Arabidopsis thaliana: one gene and its partner. Each later gene encodes a partner of the first gene's protein in a complex. Each region holds a gene or a part of one and is shown on either strand. Other genes may lie near its edges.

Region 1 (10,813 bases):
TATAGATGAGTGTGAGGGTTTTGGATAAACTAAGATTTAACAACTGAATCTTTTTGAACGAATTTTTCTTCTGACTCGATCCTGTTTTATCTGAGAATAAATGTGGATAATTACTGATAAGATATATGTGTTTTGATATTAAGATATTATCATTTAAATAAATAAACAATTAAATCGTTTAGATCAATATCGAGATTAAGAAATAAAAACTCTTTTTTTTTTAAGTAAAAGATAATGACGTTTGATCGACACAATAATAATTTTTTATACGACATATATGATCTCAGAGCTTGGCTTTTGATTATGTAATATTTTTAACATTCATATAATTACACAAGCAAGTCTGGGTAGAATATTTTTCCTATAAGAAATGAGTGTGAAAAAAGTTTTGGATAAAATTTAGACAAAATTATCCGCATGGTCATTGCATGAAAAAGAATAATAATCTACACCTATATAATCGTAAGAATTATAAGTATTTGTTATTAAAAAAAAAAAAAAAATTCTTGTTATACATTTTTCAGCATGGATAAAATTTTATCCAAATGTTTTTTTGGACATCATTTATCCACATTTAAAAGCAAATATTAATCCCATGAGAGAATACGAGAAAAACGCAGATAAGTTGATATACGGTTTTAAAAAAAAAAGGTGACCACTTATATTAAAAGGTAAAATTAATTGGTCATTAATATTAAAAAATATTTAGAGCTTCATAATCAGGAGAAGAGTTGTTGTTGTTGTAAAAAATTTTATCTTGTTGATAATCAACGATCCTTTATTTATTTTAAACTAAAAGAGAAAGTAATTTACTAAAATTTAGAAATAACCAATCATTATCAGATTTCCCATACTATAATACATTAAACTTTTTAAAAGACAACATAAATTATATCTCAGTTATCATCAAACAAAATGATGATCACTTCACTAAATCAAATTCCACACATTAATGTTCAACTTTAGCATATACATAAAATTTAGCTAGGGAACCTAAATCCTCTACACTGCATAAGCCTGAATTTGTTGAGTGTTCAACAAAAGGACAATGGCATCTAAAGAAGAAACTTCTTCTCTAGCTTCTCACTTGCCTCAGACTATCCTTGTTTTAGAAAACACACGTCATCATTTTGTTAAAGGTACATTTCAGTTCAAGTACTGTCATTGAAACTGATCTCTGAGCACACTTCATCTACTGTTCCCATCAACACCTGATTGATTCTGTGGAGATTCCGGATATGGAATCACTGGCGGAGGTTGACTATCTAATGTATGTTCCAAACTCTCAGAAGTCAGAGTATAAGTCTGGTCTAAAGATAACAACATGTCTGGTAACACTGATCTTGGGGAAGTAGCAGACTCGTCTGATGTGACATTGTTCACATTTGAAACTTCAGGTTCCACAAGTTCTTGCAACTCTTGAGTTGATTGGTCTCCATCATTTCCCCCAAAATGTTCTTGGGGTTCTTGATTTGTTCTTCTTTCAAAGGCTTCAGGTTCATCAGAGTCATCATTTATCTTCATCTCATCAGTCAAGTTTTGGACACGTTCCTGTCATAACGGTACAAGGAATATATTCAAATTCAACATTTTGAGAAACACATTGCAAGTAGCAATCATATTTCCATAAAACCTGACAAGAACAAGAACTATATAACCTCTTCTCTTCTCGAAATAACTTCATTGATGTGAGGAACTGTTGACTCTTCATGTATATAGAATCCTTTGTCTGAATTTTCCAGTGGAAAGCGTCCGGATTTTGAGCTCTCTTCTTCCTCAGATCTTCCGTTGATATCAGTACCATCAGACAGACCCTCAACTTGTTTGGCTACATAAGTTTCTGGAGAGACCTTAGAAATCGTTTCATTTAAATCTTTATCAACTTTCTCCACTGGTAACATTTGAGTTTCTTCAGTTCTATCCACAATGCTCTCCTCACCACTAAATCCCGTCTCCTTCCCAATGTCTGATTCGTTGACAATACGTGATTTTTCTTCATCAGAAGAATTATTCCCATCAACTGTAGTGGGAGGTGATCCAATTTCAGAAACCTCAACTTGAAGATCAGATTCTACAGATAACTTATGACCTTTTTTTGAGCTATAACCAAAATGCTCCACGTATCTTTGCCTTTCCGCTGCTAAAGAACTCGAAAGCGAACCAGTGTTTCTAGGAACTAAACCAACTAAAGGGTTTTCAACACGAAGATCACCATTTCCTTTCCCAGAAGTTCCAGAAAAATATGCTTGATTTGAGACATCAGAATTCATTTCCCTGTCTTCAGGAGAAAGCAATGAGTTTGAATCACTAACAACAATCTCTGTCATGTGTTCTGACTCCATATCATTTACTTCTCCTCTTGTTAGATCTTTTCCTTTCATTACAGGATGTTTCTCCCCAACCAATCCATCATTGCTACCTACATGAGCAAGGATCAGAATTGTAGAACTTAGAATCATTTACTTTGTAAGCTACAACATTTTTCAGAATGACAAGAGGATGTACCTTGTTGTGGTATTGACTTCTTTTTCCACGGTTCCCATTTCGTGTCAAGCTGATTGTCCAATGGAAAGACTCTGCGACAAAAGCTTTCATGGCGGCAGAAGAAGATATCATTAGGGTTGGCTGCAAACTCTTGCTGAAAACTATCTCCTGAGAGGTTAGGCTTCTCTTCTTGTGGATCATAAGGAATATCAAAAGGGTTTTTAGTTGGTAATAACACAGAAGGTGCAGATTCAGGCATTTGAAGACCATCAACTATATAGTTTTCTTGATCCAAACCGAAATAGTTCCGTCCAACACAGACTGGAGGAACTTCCATATCCATTAAGCTACTCTCAGCGGCAAGTCGGACTAATCTCCTCATTCTTCTTCTAGTAATCAAATGCTCTAACCTCTTGTTACGTTCCATCTCAGAGTTTCCTAAATCCATCAAATTCTTTTGATCATCCTCTGTCCAAGCTACAATCTTTTTGTCTTCACGTGTAGTTTCTTCTTCTTCTTCGCCTTCTGATGACGATGAACACTCGATCTCGGTTTCGCCACCACCACTAGTCAACCTCTCCGATGGATCCACAACGGAAACATTCCCGGTGGTTGAAAGAGTTTCTTCATCTAAGCTAGGCTCAAAGGAGAAACCTTCAGACACAAGAAAGGCTCCATCTTTCTTGAATTTCTGAAGTTTGGGAGATTTTGCAGTATTGGGAATTTCACCATAGAGAGTTGTTAAAATGACTCTGTCTCTCTCATCTTCACTAGCCTGAGAAGAGTCCCAATCTTTCCCAACCTCTTCAACTTTCCTTCTAGCGTTTCGTCGAACACTTCGTTGGTGCTTTAAGTCAGCCTTCCTTGTTTCTTCCTCCTCAGATCTCTTTTGGGAAAATGGTGAAAACCAATTATCCGTTTTGATATGCAAAAGCTTAAAACTTGGATGATTCCGAAGATAAAACACAGAGCATGCGATTAACGGAGAAGAGTAAAGGACGAAATAAAAAAGGCGTGGAAGAAAAATGTATAGGAGGAAGATAATTGCAGAAACACCAGAAACAACTGGGTGATTCCTTACGTTTCTATAAACGATGTTCGTGGAAAATCTGAGAATTTTCCAGAACAGAGTTCCGACATCTTTGGCATCGATTCCCATGTTTTAAACAGTTCAAATTCTCAGAACACTTTGAGAGATAATAACCCAAAGCATTCTGTCTATGGCGGTTTGTGTTTTGTCCTAGAGAATCAAAATGCTTGAAAGGGAAAAACAAATATGGTTTAATTGAAGAAGCGAAAATTGATCAATAAGAGAGAGGTCAAGCTTTCATTTGAAACAATAACCAGTCAATAAAAAATAGATTTTTCAAGGGTTTTTTTAGATTTTCGTTTTGGTTCTTTTTCAGTTTTCAGAACACACGGTAAGGACGGAGAAGACAAAATAGAAAACTGGTAAGAGAGGGCGGGAGTTAAATTAGTTGCTTTCTTACACATGTTTCCAAAGATTCTTGTTTTCTTACACTTTTAACCACATTTTTTACTGGTTCAGAAATTGACCCTTAAAGTTCATGGATTTTGCATCTCATATCTCTTTCTTCAAAAGATTGGGCTATCTTCTTAAGCCCACCAAGACCCATCAAATGTCTGTAAATAACATACACTATTGACACTTCCTAAGTTTTCTAGCTAATCCTTTTTTTTAGCAAGTTGTTAACAGATTTGTGTGAGACTATTCATGATTTTCAAAACCAAGATGAACATCAACGCTTAAAGCTTATAATAGCCACTCTTTCTTGTTAACTTGATGACTAAAGTCAATCTTTGTTGCTCAATCTTAACTGATACACACACAATCAACGTTACTCATGATATCTAATTTCACTCCTTACTCCTTCATTGAGAGTTGGACACAAAATCAGTATGACAAGAAATTGAGGATGATCTCTTAAGAAAAACTCTAAAAGTAAATACACATTTCTCTTGTTGTGACACAAAAAGGAAAGAGAAGACCTCATCAAGGAGAGTGAGAAGATGTACTCAAGATTAAACTCATAATTAAGCCACACTTGAAGCAATTGGAACTACGGGTGCTACTCATTCTTAAGCTTCCTCTGACCCTTCATAACACAAACAAATAATTACTTTTCCATATTAACACATCATATTTCTACCTCTTCAAGAAATTAAAACCAGACAAAAACGATCAAACACAACATTCAAAACATCAAATTTCGACAACAAGCCAGTTCCTTTCAAGAAAACACTAACCTTCCGTCTCATCTTCATCGTCATCTTCTTCCTCCACCGCATCAACACCGTACCTCGCATTCAAGAACTCCACAGCCGCAGGAGTCAGAACAAGCTTATCAGCGTTCAAAATATCAAACAGATTCAGTGTCCTAGGCGTCAACATCCTCAAGGTTCCAATGTTCCTACTCGATTTCGCCACATTCTCATCCACATCAATCATCAAGAACATAGCTTTCTCCTTGGGATCCAATCCCCACCTTTGCATCGCAGCTAAGAAATCTTTAGTCTTGGGCTTCTCAAACTTCTCCCCAAATTCCTCCACCACTATCGCACCACCTTCCGCAGATGCCGCACTCGATAACGCCGTAGATATCGCTAGCTTCTTCTCCTTCCTATTGATTTTAATTGACCAATCCTTAGGTCTTGGCCCAAACACCACACCTCCACCGGGACGTAACGGTGTTCTCTGAGATCCACGCCTCGCGTGGCCAGTTTTCTTCTGTGAGTAAGGTTTAATTCCACCACCACGAACTTCACCGCGAGTCAGTGTGGAAGCAGTACCTCGCCGCTTGTTATTCAGGTCCGTCACGATGGCTCGGTGCACAACGGCACGCGCGGTATCCTCCGGCGCCGCTTTGAGGTCTAGATACGTCTCTCCGACCTTCTCTCCTTCGAATGATAGAATCGGTAGAGTCGCTAGCTGGGAAGAGACAGAAAGCGGCTTCGAGACTCTGCCGGAGCCGAGTTTTGAAACGGAAATGTAGGTTTTAGGGATTTGGTGAGAGGAGGATAAAAAGAGAGAAGATGAGAAGAAAGATAGCGAATTTGGTGCTGTTGCAGAAGAAGCCATTGTTGTTCCCTGACCTGACCTATCACAACGAAGAAGAAGAAGAAAGACTGAGAAAGTGTTATCCACTCTTCAAATGCCTATCTTGTGCTTGGTGAGAATTTATGCATCTGTTTGGACATAAGGATATAACTATCCTGTTCATGAATAACTCCAGCTGTCGCTAGTAAGAAAGAGTCAAACTCCAAAAGTCAAAAGCCTCTTATATAGCCAGCAGGTTTTTTGAGACATAAAACTCTGTGATAAAACGATGATAGTTGATGATAGCTGAGACTTTGATACAGATATTTGAGATACGAGCGCACGTTAGCTAAGACCACCGCGTAAGCCACCGTCTCGTCTTGAAACGCACCGTATTCATGACTTCGTCGGAGCCACTCGACCTGGTTGTCACCGTCGTCTCTGCCAAGCACCTGAAGAATGTCAACTGGCGTAACGGTGACCTGAAACCCTACGTTGTTCTGTATCTTGACCAAGACCACCCTCTCTCCACCCGCTCCGATGATTCCTCCTCCATCAAACCGGTGTGGAACGAGCGGATTACTCTTCCTCTCACCCGATCTGTCCACGAATCGGTCCTCAACATCGAGGTTTTTCATTCCAATTCTTCGGATCTGGCGAAAACCCTCGTCGGATCGGTTAGGTTTCCTCTAGCTCGTTTGATTGACTCGGACGGGTCAATGATTCCGGAATTGATCAACTCGCTCGAGCTGGTTCGTCCATCGGGTCGACCACAGGGGAAGATTCGTTTGAAGCTCGCGATCAAAGACAGACCAATCCCTCCACCGCAGCATCCTCCGCCACGTCCTCAATCTCAACCACTAGATTACTATTCTGCCCCTCAAGGAAACCATTATTACTCCCCTAGCCCTCCTCCTCCTCCTCCTCCTCAAGCACCGATCACCGCTCCATCTCCTCAGCGTGACTACAGAGAATTCTCACAGTCACCGTCTCCGTCTCCTTACGCATTCACTGATCACTACTATTCCGGGTATTATTATCCGCCTCCTCCACCACGTTCAATGTACGATCGTGCCTCCAATTACGGCCTCCCAAGTGGCCCATCTGCTCCCGTTGATGCCTTCTCATCGATTGATCACAAGCAGCCTCCTTTAGCTCCTCCTCGGTTTTCTAACTACGGTCCACCGCCTAGTGGGCCCTCAGCACCCGTTGATGCCTTTCTGGTTACCGAGTACAAGCCACAAGCTCCACCTATGGGCTCGCGATTGTCTAGCTACGGAGTGCCTAATGGTCCATCGGCACCAGTCGATTACTCTCCTTATGATCACAGGCAGTTGCAGAAGACGATGGGTGGATTGAGCTTAGAGGAAGAGAGAGCTGCTGCAGAGAGGTCTGAGAGTGATTTCGGAGCTAGGCCAAACTACAGCTATGGCCGTGATTATCGCCGTGAATGTTGAGGATGGCAAAAAGTTGTTGAATTTCACAAGTGTGCGGCGTTTCTAAGGCTTTACTTATCATCAGATTTGTTGGTGTTAGAACACCAGGAAATGGCTGATGACAAAATATGAATTTGGTGAAGTATATGTTATGTCTATATGTATGTCTCGTTTGTGAATTGATTTGTTGCTTCTTTCTAGCTGATATTCGGTGTTACCCCTTCTGTACCTTTGTACATGTTTCTAAAACATCTCTCATTTCTTTCCTTCATTCAGTTTCTTGAATCAAGCTATTGGGTTCTTAGGGTTAATGTTCTAATGTGAATCACTTTACTGTTGATTTATTGTTTGAACCATGCTCTGATTAGGTATGGTAGTATGCTCTGTCTCAGACATGAACAGTCCTATATCCTGCGATTCTGCCGAATATTTTTGCAGGCTGGTTAAAGACTTTGGTTCTTATTTCATGTTTGATGATACCAATGTGTGATTTTCGTTTGGAACCAGTGATCTCCATATTCATTGAGCGTTTGGATTAATGTGTCTTGAATCATGCTCATCACAGTGCAGAAAAGATGTTCTCTCTGATCGTTTTGGGTAAAATGGTATGTACACGGTTGGTGCTAAGTCTATTGTGCTCTTGTTATAACGATGAGACAGAGCAGTTTTGCTATTGCATTCTTTTCCCTTTTGGCATTTTGGTAACCTGCTATACATATCAGTCAATCTCATGCTATTTGCATCTAATCACTGACAATCATGCAGGTATTATTGTTCTGTTCTCAATGGAATGTTTTCACATGTAAAATCACTCTATTCTCCAGATTGTGTGATCTTCTATTTATGTCCTGACACTCCCTGGTTTATTATATGCTTTCTCATATTCTTGTACCCACCATTAACTTGTTTTTTTGTTCTTTCCTTGATCCCTCCTTTTTATTGTAGCCGCAGACTCATGAAAGGAATCTGCATCCATAAAGGTAAGATTATATTGGCCTCTCCTGGAGTCAAAAAGAAACTTTTTTAGATTGTTATGTAACTTATGTGCACACATGAGTGATCATCAAAGAAGAATGATACCAAATGGTTGCTTAACCTTTTTCTTCACTTAAACAAAGGGTTTATTCCCTCTGTGGACCGTAAAGAAAAATAGAAAAAACTAAACCTAGTCTTCTCTTTTTGCTCTTGGGCATAGTTCTCTTTATAAATTTGTAGATCCACTTTAACTACAAGTCTTTTTATATATAGGGTCTAAAATAAGATTGAAGTTACACTTTTTTGTTAGTTGTTTATTTGTTTATGTCTTGAGTGCTTAATCATGGCCTAAGCGTAATGATGTTATAGATAATATACATCATTAATCATTTCATGTCTTTTCCCGTATTTGCCTGAACTATCAGCACAACTGTTCTCAGCACCAGTCCGTTAAATATCTCTCATTATCCTCATATTGTTTCCCATAAACTTCTCTCACTCTCTCTATCTTTCTCTTGATATGTCAGCTACTGGTATAAAACGGTCCAACCTCAACACTAGACCGGTTCAGAGAGATGCTTCGGCTAAGCAAACAGCTATCAAGGGACCTTATGGTAAGAGTCCGGGATGCACAACAAGCTGCGGATTAAGGTTACCGAGGAAAACAGAAGTGACAGCAGCAAAATTGATCAAGCATCTTGGATGCAAATTTGCAAAAGGTTTGCGTCTGGTGGTGATGAGGAAGAAGAAAAGATCTCCACCGTCGAAGGTTTCTTCTTTTTCTGGGAGGTCTCAGCCACCAATCATCCCAATAAACAATGACAGTCATCGATCAGAGGCCATAGAAGACTGCATACAGTTCATCAACTCATCATCCTCCTTCACCAGATCAAACTCTACTTCTTAAGTGTTATCATTCCCAAACCTTTTGTCTCGGTCGCTCGCTCGCTCGCGTATTGTCTATTTTACTTATTCGTGAGAGTTGCATGTAAATAATGTCTACATAAATCTATTATGTGACTTCTGTTGTTGTAGTACGAGTAACTGTCTTCCATCTTTCTCAATTTCTGTCTATAAATATTAGATTTTGATATTCGTATTTGTTCATGATTAGTTACAAGGATAAGCCACTTCTGTTTTATCAATAAACGAATTTCCTCTTTCTATAATACATATTTTTCTGAGATGTTCCTATAATTAAAATGTTCGTGTGTGACTTATTTTATCATTTTATTAATTATGTAGTAAAAATGCTTTAGTTTAAAAAGTAAATTTAAAATAGTTTATCCAAGAAAGTTCATAAATAAAGCATGGCCACTGATTTGTTTACCCTAACAGTTAGTAGCACCTTCAGTGAACGGGAGACCACCTAAATCAATCTATGTGTGAGCGTGTGTGATTTGTTTAGCTTTAACGTTTGATAGCCTAAAACAACTTCTTCCTTTTGTGTAGTCTTTTTACCCAATTCTATCATATCTTTTAAAATAGAAAATTATAGCAAATTTTTGGTCGTGTTCACAATTTGTTTGAGTGGGCTACTAAAAGTTGAAATCTCCACTAATCGTTTAGATAATACTAAATCCATTTGTTAATGTTGATCCACTGAAATCTATATATGTAAATGAAAATCAAACTGATTTTTAGCCTGAGACGAAAATTTGTCGGCAAGTGTGCGATCAAATGATCAGTAAGTATTAAGTGTGATCAGTCGTTTAGACCAAAAGACAAATTTGCAAGAATTAAAAACATCAGTACGCCTAAAAAGCCCGTAATGTCTTAACAACGTATGGGCTTAATTCTAATGTCTAAAGCCCGTAATATCAAAGCCCAAGCCCAGGTTTATAATACATCCGACACAGCCACCGGCAATCTTCCCGCCAGTATAATCGCCATGGATTCCGGCAGTCTCAAGCCTAAAAGGCTAAAAATATTTTCGTCGCATACATCATTCCGTTCTCAGCTGATTTAAAATACAATTAATCTGCTCCCAGATTTGAAGAACCCTAAAATAAAAAAGAGTAAAATTGAAGGCTGGAGATTGTGAACATGGACGGTTACTCTCTCTCTCCTACCTCGGTAATCTCGCTCAGATCCTCCCACGTTCTTCCTCGCCTCTTACGCCTTTGCGTGTTACCTAAAAAGGTCATCACCTTCATCGTCGCCGGTTTTCCTCTTCTCAAATTCGGTGGATCTCATTTCCCACTGACGATCGTACTCTCTCGATTCGTATTTACGCGCCGTGTTTCAAGCTATTTCGAGCTCATAAGTGTTAAAGTCTCTTCCTTACTCTTCAATCAATCATTCGTATCTTCGATTCCGTGAATTGAAGAGGGAACTTTTCTGCGATTCTGCGAATTGAGGAGGGAACTTTGTTGCCATTCTGGAACAAGAAATGTCTGCCGTGAAACTGGAAGCAATTGTTTGCCACGAGCCTGATGAATCAGAGCTGAGTCACTTGAGTGATAATGGTAGTAAAACTAAAAACGGAGTTGTCTTTCAACTTCTCGATCAGAAGAGTTCCGAACATAGATGGTTTAGTGAAAGGTAATGTAAGATGCTTAGACTTTGTTTTCTTGAGCGGATTCAGTGTTATGAGCTCTAAAGATTTGTTGTGGTTATAGAGGGAATAATGCATTTGAATTTCTTGATTCTTCCTCAAGGTTTCTTAGATGGAGACGGAGATATCTTCCGGTTGATGGAGATAACAGGCGTGACCACGGGTCTGTGAAACAGTCAGGACCTCTTGTGTCTGGTGCAGCTTACTGTATCTCTTCCTGCAGCATGATTATATTGAACAAAATTGTTCTCTCCAGCTACAATTTCAACGCAGGGGTCTCTTTGATGCTTTATCAAGTAAGAC
Region 2 (8,444 bases), about 27 Mb from region 1:
TAAACCGGGAAAAAGAAAAGAGAAATACCGTTAAGTTTGGACTAACCGAAATTAGAAGCAGTATTCATAAACCAAAAATCCAAAAGGCAAAAACACTATGAGACCACTATGCAGATTGAGAGAGCCAAAATTTATACATCACATTAAAGTAGAGTAATCATCAAGTATCCAATCCTAATTCTAAATTTGTAGAGCTCATAAAAGAAAAATGAGAAAACAGAACCTCTTGATCCAAACTATATAAAAAGTTTTATCTATAGTTTCTCAGTTGCTGCCAGAAGCTGGAGCACTCCAGTTTGGTGGAAGACGGTCGGAAACAGGCAAAGCCGTAGAAGTGGGCAAGTTTCGGACATTGATATCAAGAGGATACAATCTATACTCAATGTCAAGCTCTCTGCAAATTTTGGCAATCTCTTCAACAAGTTGAGACCTTCGAGCCCATTTCTCTCCCATATCTTGATGATTCATTCGATGTGTTGGCCAAACCGCAATTCTCACGCTGTTTAATGACTCCATGTCTTTGAATACTATCATTGGCGCTGGATACCAATGATCCTTCTTGCCCTCAATGTAACTATCACAACAACGAATGCAGGTAATGAAATACAAGAATTTTCAGGTATTAAAATTTGTGAAACTGTGATTCCAAATTTGCAATGTACCTTGTGATTCTCTGTTTGATGAGTATGATTTTCTCAGCTGGAGTAGTAATGTGGATGGAGAATTCGATACCATCTCCCATATCAGGACTACGGTAATAATTTCCGATGGATTTAGTCCAGAGAAGACTGTTCGGGTACACGACTTTCTGGTTATCAAATCTCAAGAAAACTGTTGTCAATATGTTCATCTCTTCCACAACCATCTGAAACAAGAAGTTTTTTAAACATTAGAATTGAAAAATGAGAACTATTAGTTACTAGTTTTTTGAAGTTACCTGGACTCCATCAATTTCACATCGATCGCCTACATCAAACGGATGTATCACAAACAAGTAGATGATAGATTCAAATACTATCTTGCACATGTTTCCAAATATGAATGCTACAACCACGACTTGCGAGCTCATGACGACGAGGAATTTGGTGGAAGTGATTCCAAGTATGATAAGCCAGATAACAAGTATGATGATCCCAACCACGATATTCACCATCTTGTGAAGCCTGTTTACTGCTGTTTTGGTGTCGTTTAGGGTCAATGCAAGAGCTCTTCTCTCTCTAAAAGCATTCACCTGTGAAAAGGTTGTTGCACATTTTCATTAATATCTGAATTCATTAAAGAGTGTAAATTCATTCCAAATTTCTTACCACCCAGTTTTTAAGAGATGACTTGCTGATCCTGTTCGTCTCAGATGCTCCTTCAAAGAGACTTAAAGTCTTCAAAGCTTCGTCATCTGGCAGAAACCGCATTATGTCGTTTGCATAGATGAACCTAAATGAGAAAATAAGCAATTGCTACTGGTTAGTATCTATAATGCAATACTATTGTAAAGCCTTTGTATAAAGAAAAAAGTGATTTTCTTTACTTTGATCCTGGCTTAGCAACATTATGAAAGATCTTTCTTGCAGCGAGCTTTGCCTCAAACTCACTTCTAATTTGGTTTCCTTTATCATCATCCAAGCTTGGATCCTGAAGCTGTTCATCCAAAGTGGTAAGTGATCCATTCCGGATTATATTCATCAGCCTCTTCATTTTCCATGCGGAAACATTCTTAGGATTCAGCTTATGAAGGCTATCGATCGTAATCCCTTTGTTTTCTCCTCCTCCCCCTCCTCCATTAGATAGAACATGAGAGAGAAACGGGCTTTTCCCGGTCTTCATTGGACTTTTCTGAGCTCCTGACTGAATCTCAACACCCCCTGGATTTTGAAACTTCTTAACCTCAACACTGATTCTCTCTTCCTCTTCCTCATTTTTTTGGATCTCAATCAAAGGAGGACCCGAGAGCGTCTCAATCACATACTGAGTAAACAAAGACTCTTGAATCCTATCGAAGTAAGTGCTCATATGAAACGATGAAGCAAGAACTTTGACCAACAGTGTCTTCACGAGCCACAACAAGAACCCAACCAACAAACACACAAAGATCTTAGTCACAACACGAAGCGCCTTAGTGTTTGCTGCTTTAGCCACTTTCTCATCAAACAAGAAATGCCAAGCCAGTAAAACAAGTCCTAACCATAAGCAATTCTGCACCGCTTTTCGGACACCATAAACGAAATACAAAACTCTTTTCCTCAAAAGAAAGTTCCTTTCGATAAAGAAGACAACAATCTTCACAATCCAGCTCGAGACTAACCTACCACAGATCAACACTAAAACCATTGACTCCCATTTCCATAGCTGAAGTTCCCAGAGTTTCTTCTTACGCAAGGAAGGTATCGCAAGAGTGCAAACAAACCCAGCTATAATCAAAATCAAACTCAACCATTCCAACACAATCCATAGACTAAGTTTATCTTTCCTATACTCTTCTGGTAAATCCTCTGCTGCAAATGGATCATCTTCTTCTTCCTCACCTTGAGTCTTAGGGCTTTTTCCAAAAAAACCTGATTTCATCTGCCCGGATTTCGGAATCCGACCCGACTTCATATCCGCCGTTTGCGGCGGCAACTGAGGCGTTGGCGGATCCGAAAGACGTGACCTAGTTCTCATCTTAAGTAAAGTGCTAGAGCTTCTCTGAATCGGAGCATTATTACCACTACACTTGACAACTTCTCCATCATCGTTATTGTTGGTATTACTGCGACTGTCTCGTCTTCCCACGGGGTCACGTTTTGTAGAAACTCTCGGAGATTCCGATACCGGAGTTAAACCTCTAGATTGAAGCTCGTCCATACCTAAGTCCATATCTAAACAAATCTCACCGGAAGCTTGCTGTTTATGGAGAAACTGACCAATCAGCTTCGTGGGAGGATCTTCGCCGCGACGAAACTCAAAACCCTCATCTTTTTGTTGCTCCCCCGTCGTGGCGGCGGATCTATCAGAATCAACCGCCGCAGCATTATGACCTTTGTTGAGGTTACCTTCACCATCAGTCCAAAAATCGTAGCTTCCGTCTCTCCATATCTTTCCTACAGTCTCTCCGGAGACTCCATTGTTGTTTCCGTTTTCACCGTCGATTTTGACGATAACTTCTCGCCGGTCAGCCGCATCAACGGCCATTACTCAAACAATCCAGCGAAATCTAGGTTTAGCGTACACACCAACGATTAGAGAAGGAAAGCAAAAAAAAGAAAGATTTAATCACACTTTTGGGTAACTGTGAAAGCAAGAAGAAGAGAAAACGCTTTTATTTGATCAGAGCTGGTGATGACTCTTTGTGAGAAAAGAGAGGGTAAGTAATAAGGAAATAAAATTATCTAATTAAAGTATGACGCGTGTAAGCCAATCGCTACCACACAGCTACAACATCATCACTTTGAAATTTGGACGACACACAGAGATCCTCTTCTCCCTCTCTCTCTCTGTGTCTTAATATTATTATTTTTTCAATACCAAACTTTGGCAAAGTTCGAGAAGAAGATGGGAACTTACTCACGGCGAACCATTTAGGTTTTTATTATTTCGTCAAACTTTGGCAAACTAATATTTGTTTAGTATACATTTTGTTTTAAGGATATCGTTTTACATATTTTGTTTGATTCTACGCTAGCATATAGTATTTCAAAAAAAAATCAAATTATTCCATTTTTGGTATTGTTTATTAGGTTAGGTTTGTGCCTTTGTGGGGAAGGGACATTCGTCACATGTATGAAGGACTCACGCAAAACGATGAATATTGTATTTAATGGCTTAGTTAGATGTTGTCGTAATTAATAATAGGTTATTAATTTTTAAAGTAGTTCTTTTAGAACTTAATAAAGAATTAAGCATATTTTAGAACTAGATCAGTTCCAGAAATAAGAAAGTTACAAACTTACTACTATTATCGAGACAGTAGTAAACCCATGTTAGAGAATTTAACCAAAAAAGTGAAAAAACATTGAAAAAAAGTAAGAAAAAGGGCAAGCAAGAGTCTTCTTCAGGCGCGCCGTGGCGGACATTTGACTTTAAGAAAGAAAAAGCGAGATTTGCGCTGCGGCGGTGTAAAAATCAGTCGTAAAATACACGCGTTTGAGGAGCGCGTGTGAATTTTGACACTTGTCAGCTGTGTGTTAGACAGATGTTGCGGCCCATGGGCCATTGTCGTATCTTATTGCGGACCACAGGTTCGTAGAAGCAACGCATTGTATAATTTTTCTTCATGTTTCATAAGTCTAAAAGTAAACAAGCCTGTTAAGTCTCGCTGTCTTGTTTAACAGCTAGGCCGATGGATGCATTTTTCTCTAGAGGCTTCTAAATTAAAATTGGCCACCAGAAACACTATCTTATGCAACGTCGAGAATATTGCTAAAGATGACAGGAACAAGACATAATAATGACAAAAAAGAAGAATGTATTCGAGAAAATCACGACTCTTCGACGACTTCTTTCTCAACCAATTCTTGGTACTTTGTTGTTGCCTTTTCTTCAAACTTTTTTCTTACATTTTCATCACTACTTTCTCTATTTGCTACATAACTTTTTTTACATGTTCTTCAATTTATGATGTCGCAATAGAATTTGGACTTCATGTGAAGGAAATAGAAGAAATCACGTGAATGGATCCCTAAGCAGAAGAAATTTTATAAGTTTCTCTATCTACGGGACAATTGCAAAGGCAAACTTAATTCACATAAATATCATCCAATAATTGCTAGACAATGGTCCCAGAAGTTTTTTCCCCTCATTGATGTTGGACTACTAGTTGTACACAACAGAGTATAATTTATAACACCACTGAATACGTAAGGCTGTGTTTAACAATATAAAAAAAGAATCTAACCTCACTGAGAATACATGACCTTCGTGGCAGGTTTTACTTGACCCAGTTCTGGAGTATAAACTGTTGCATCAAAATCGCCACAATGCTTCCCAAGCTTATGTTGATCACGTTGACTACATCATTGTTTAGCTACACATAGCAAAATAGTGACTAACATGAGACAGAATACAGTCGAGATCATTGCATTCTTGTTTAGTTGGTAACTAATTGCAAGGAATGGATTCATAAGACGAAAACTTCAAAATTCTGTATTGAATGGAAATCGTTTTCCACTCAAGCCAGTTATCTATCAGTCTTTCTGCAAGAAGTGACGGTATATTCATTTGATTATCATCTTCTTGCATTGACAACAAGTAGACAGAGTGAGATCAATAAAACAAAAAGAAGAGAGTTCATTGAAGTGAGCATACCCATTTGAATCCTTCTTTGTCTTGAAAAGAAGCACCTATTATGCTCTCTCCAAGATTGGCAATCTGGGAAGCTAGTACACATACAGCTGCTTCTGGAGGAGTTATCTGTGTTCAAGATATCAAAAGGAAAAGAAGTTTAAAAATCGTGTAATGATAACAGTCTTTAGTAGCATAAAGAAGCTGTGAAGGGAAATTTTGGTAGCAAATAACACTATTACCTGACCCAGGAAGCAGCCAACAGATGCAAGAAAAAATGATGCTAAAAGTCCAGCCAATGTTCCTTCAAGACTCATAGCTCCCTCTGTTCCTCTTGGTACAATCTTAAATGTCGTAGCTAAATACCTGCGAATTGGCAATGGTTAGTAAGATCATTTCAGTTGTCGATTGGATTCATGTCATGACACCACAAGTCCATGCCATACATCAGACAGAAAACAGACACAGACCATAACAGAAGAGGCTATAGCTGGATAACAGTAGCATACTCACGTTGTTTTTCCATAAGCTTTGCCTATCTCGCTCGAGACAGTGTCAGATACTTTAGTGCAGAAACTGGAAACAAAACCAAGCCGGAAAAGCTGGGAAAAAGCTGCTCCTCCCACTTGATATATTGAAAGAAAAGCACAGACACAACCAGCAGCACTTGAACCAATCACACTGCGTGGTCCTCTTCTACCCTTTCTCTTTTCGGCCACACCTTGTGCTTCCTTTTGCGTCATTTTAACCTTCGTTGCCGCTGTTCCCTGTGATATTGTAAATCATCTAAACCAACTTCAGCGCCAGAATCAATTGCAAATTTACTGTTACTATTTCCAGCTCTGGGGTGAAACACGATATTGAAATCTAAAACTTAAAGCATTGCAGAGAAAAGACTAAGTATCTCAATGTTGAGCATGATCAGAAAAAGTAGCTCCTTAATCTGTAAACGTGATTTAGGATCTCTAACACGTCCACAATTCCTAAATTAAACAATAACACATCTAAAATCTAAGGACATTCTTCATTCATCAGCTCGAAATCAAAATCAAAGCAGCGAATTTCTACGTTCTAAGAGTCAGTTACCGAATTACATTCAGGTTGATCACAAATGCACTTACTATGACGAAGTAAGCAGCGACTAAGAGGAAACCAGCAGAGCCATAAGCTCTCCAAGTTAAAGTACCAAGCAAAAACGCGGCGGCGATCCCAGAAGCGGACAATCCGGTAACAAGAAGCGGTGAACCGAGAACAAAAATCAATAAATTGTTAGCCACAGCTGATTTCCAAGTTGGTGACGCCGATTGAATCAGTTTCATCGCCTCCGTCATCACTCCTTCCATCGATGCAGCCGCCGCCGTAGCACCGTCGGCTCTACTTCCCGACGAAAGCATTCCGTTGGAAAGTGGTTCCAGATTACGTCGTCCAAATCTGTAAGATCTAGCGAATGGAGAGGAAGAAGAAAATCCCGAGAATTTTGGGAATCTTAGTGGTAAAGCTGATCTAGAAGAATTTAAGAGTAGAGTTGACGAAATCGTTGCCATGACTTAGCTTGCTTCCGAAGAAGACCTTTCTCTCCTATTGAGAAAAAAAAAACAGTATTTCGGGTTGAATCCGGAGCTCCGAAAAAAACCCGGATCCTTAACCCGTGTTGTGTTTATTTTTCGGTCGTATTCATCAGATTATTTACGGTGTTGCCACTACTACTATTTACTGAGAACCCAATCTTATCCGAGAAATCGGAAAGAGCAGAAGAAATTTGCAGAAGAGAGAAAAACAAAAATGGCGGTTCTTTGCTCGTCTTCGACGGTGATACTCTCTTCTTCTTCCGTGAAATCCTCCGGAAGTGAGAGAAAGTCTCCGTTTTTAGGGTTCTCTTTAACGGCTATCTCGAAGCCGTCGGTACGAGTCGGCATTTATGCGAATTCGAAAAGAGGATTGCAAGTGAAGTGTGAAGCTGAGCCGACGACGACGACTTCTCTTGTTCCGGCGAATCAACGATGGATGTTCGACGAAGAAGAAGCTAATGGCCCTGTAACGATAATTTTTCTATCTCCCTCTGTGTTTAGCATCTACGCATTTATAAAGTGTCGCACTTTAGCTCTTGCTTTGAATTTGAAGTATGGCTTGTTTTTTTCTTCTCCCAATTGCGATTTATTAAGTAGTGGATTTTGCCTTTGACTCATTAGCTGTGTTGTCTGCATCAATTGGCTTCGAAAATTGATGTTTATTCTTCTGAATTTGTTAACTTGGACGTTTTATGAAATTATTAATGTTTGGTTGGAGAGAAGTTAAAAGTCTTTGGCTTGAAACCTTTATTGAGTGTATTCTATGGTTTACAGGACATCTGGAACACGACATGGTATCCAAAAGCTTCAGACCATGTGAACACGGACAAGCCCTGGTTTGTGGTTGATGCAACTGACAAAATTCTTGGTAGATTGGCATCGACAATTGCTAATCACATCCGTGGGAAGAATCTTGCCTCTTACACTCCTAGTGTCGACATGGGAGCTTTTGTGATTGTGGTATGAGTTTCTTTGAGCTATCTGTAGAGAATAAGAAATTTGATGTGCTGCTTTAGTTAATTTCTTCCTGAAGGAGGAGCCTTGGGATTTGGTTTTAGTAAGATTCACATTAGCAGCAAGATGTAGAGCCTCTATGTAGATGTTTGGGCAATGCTTGTAACTTGGTACCTCTAATACTGTTTTCAATTGTTTGGTTAAAGGTGAATGCTGAGAAAGTTGCTGTATCTGGAAAGAAGCGTAACCAAAAGCTGTACAGGAGGCATTCAGGACGACCTGGTGGTATGACAGTAGAGACATTTGATCAATTGCAGCAGAGAATTCCTGAAAGAATCGTTGAGCATGCTGTTCGTGGAATGCTTCCAAAGGGACGGGTTAGATACATAATCCACAGCTCTTTATTAGTCTCCTTTAAGTCTTAACACTTAGCAAATCCGTGTTTCTTCAAACTTATGGATTGAACTTGGAAACTACTTGTTGCGATATTGGTATTGATTGATTACTAGTTTTCCAACTCCCTCTTAACTTTGGTCTGACCATTTTGTGGCAGCTTGGGAGAGCTCTGTTCAATCACCTGAAGGTGTACAAAGGCCCTGACCATCCTCACGAGGCCCAGAAACCGCTTGATCTGCCTATCAGGGACAAGAGAATACAGCTGCAAAAATA

Evidence for each region. The genes of interacting proteins can lie anywhere in the genome.
Region 2: RPL4 (region 1) and emb1473 share a complex: the UniProt entries of both Arabidopsis thaliana proteins name them as parts of the 50S ribosomal subunit.

The regions. Positions count from the first base shown.
Region 1 is NC_003070.9:2,243,961-2,254,773, reverse strand, and holds RPL4 (ribosomal protein L4), read right to left. Parts: upstream 5,808-10,813; 5' UTR 5,585-5,807; coding exon 4,753-5,584; coding exon of another isoform or gene 4,748-4,752; exon of another isoform or gene 4,602-4,747; coding exon 4,585-4,601; 3' UTR 4,245-4,584; downstream 1-4,244. Other genes in the region: AT1G07330 (dentin sialophosphoprotein), read right to left, coding at 1,189-1,551, 1,659-2,419, 2,506-3,643; AT1G07310 (Calcium-dependent lipid-binding (CaLB domain) family protein), read left to right, coding at 5,941-6,999; AT1G07300 (josephin protein-like protein), read left to right, coding at 7,769-7,958, 8,481-8,860; GONST2 (golgi nucleotide sugar transporter 2), read left to right, coding at 10,346-10,497, 10,614-10,806. UniProt on the Arabidopsis thaliana protein: This protein binds directly and specifically to 23S rRNA. May play a role in plastid transcriptional regulation.
Region 2 is NC_003070.9:29,568,962-29,577,405, forward strand, and holds the start of emb1473 (Ribosomal protein L13 family protein), read left to right. Parts: upstream 1-6,844; 5' UTR 6,845-7,035; coding exon 7,036-7,287; intron 7,288-7,595; coding exon 7,596-7,781; intron 7,782-7,981; coding exon 7,982-8,152; intron 8,153-8,328; coding exon 8,329-8,444. Other genes in the region: MSL6 (mechanosensitive channel of small conductance-like 6), read right to left, coding at 265-574, 663-865, 938-1,231, 1,308-1,431, 1,526-3,165; AT1G78620 (integral membrane protein (Protein of unknown function DUF92, transmembrane)), read right to left, coding at 4,901-4,996, 5,278-5,382, 5,496-5,619, 5,767-6,020, 6,348-6,797.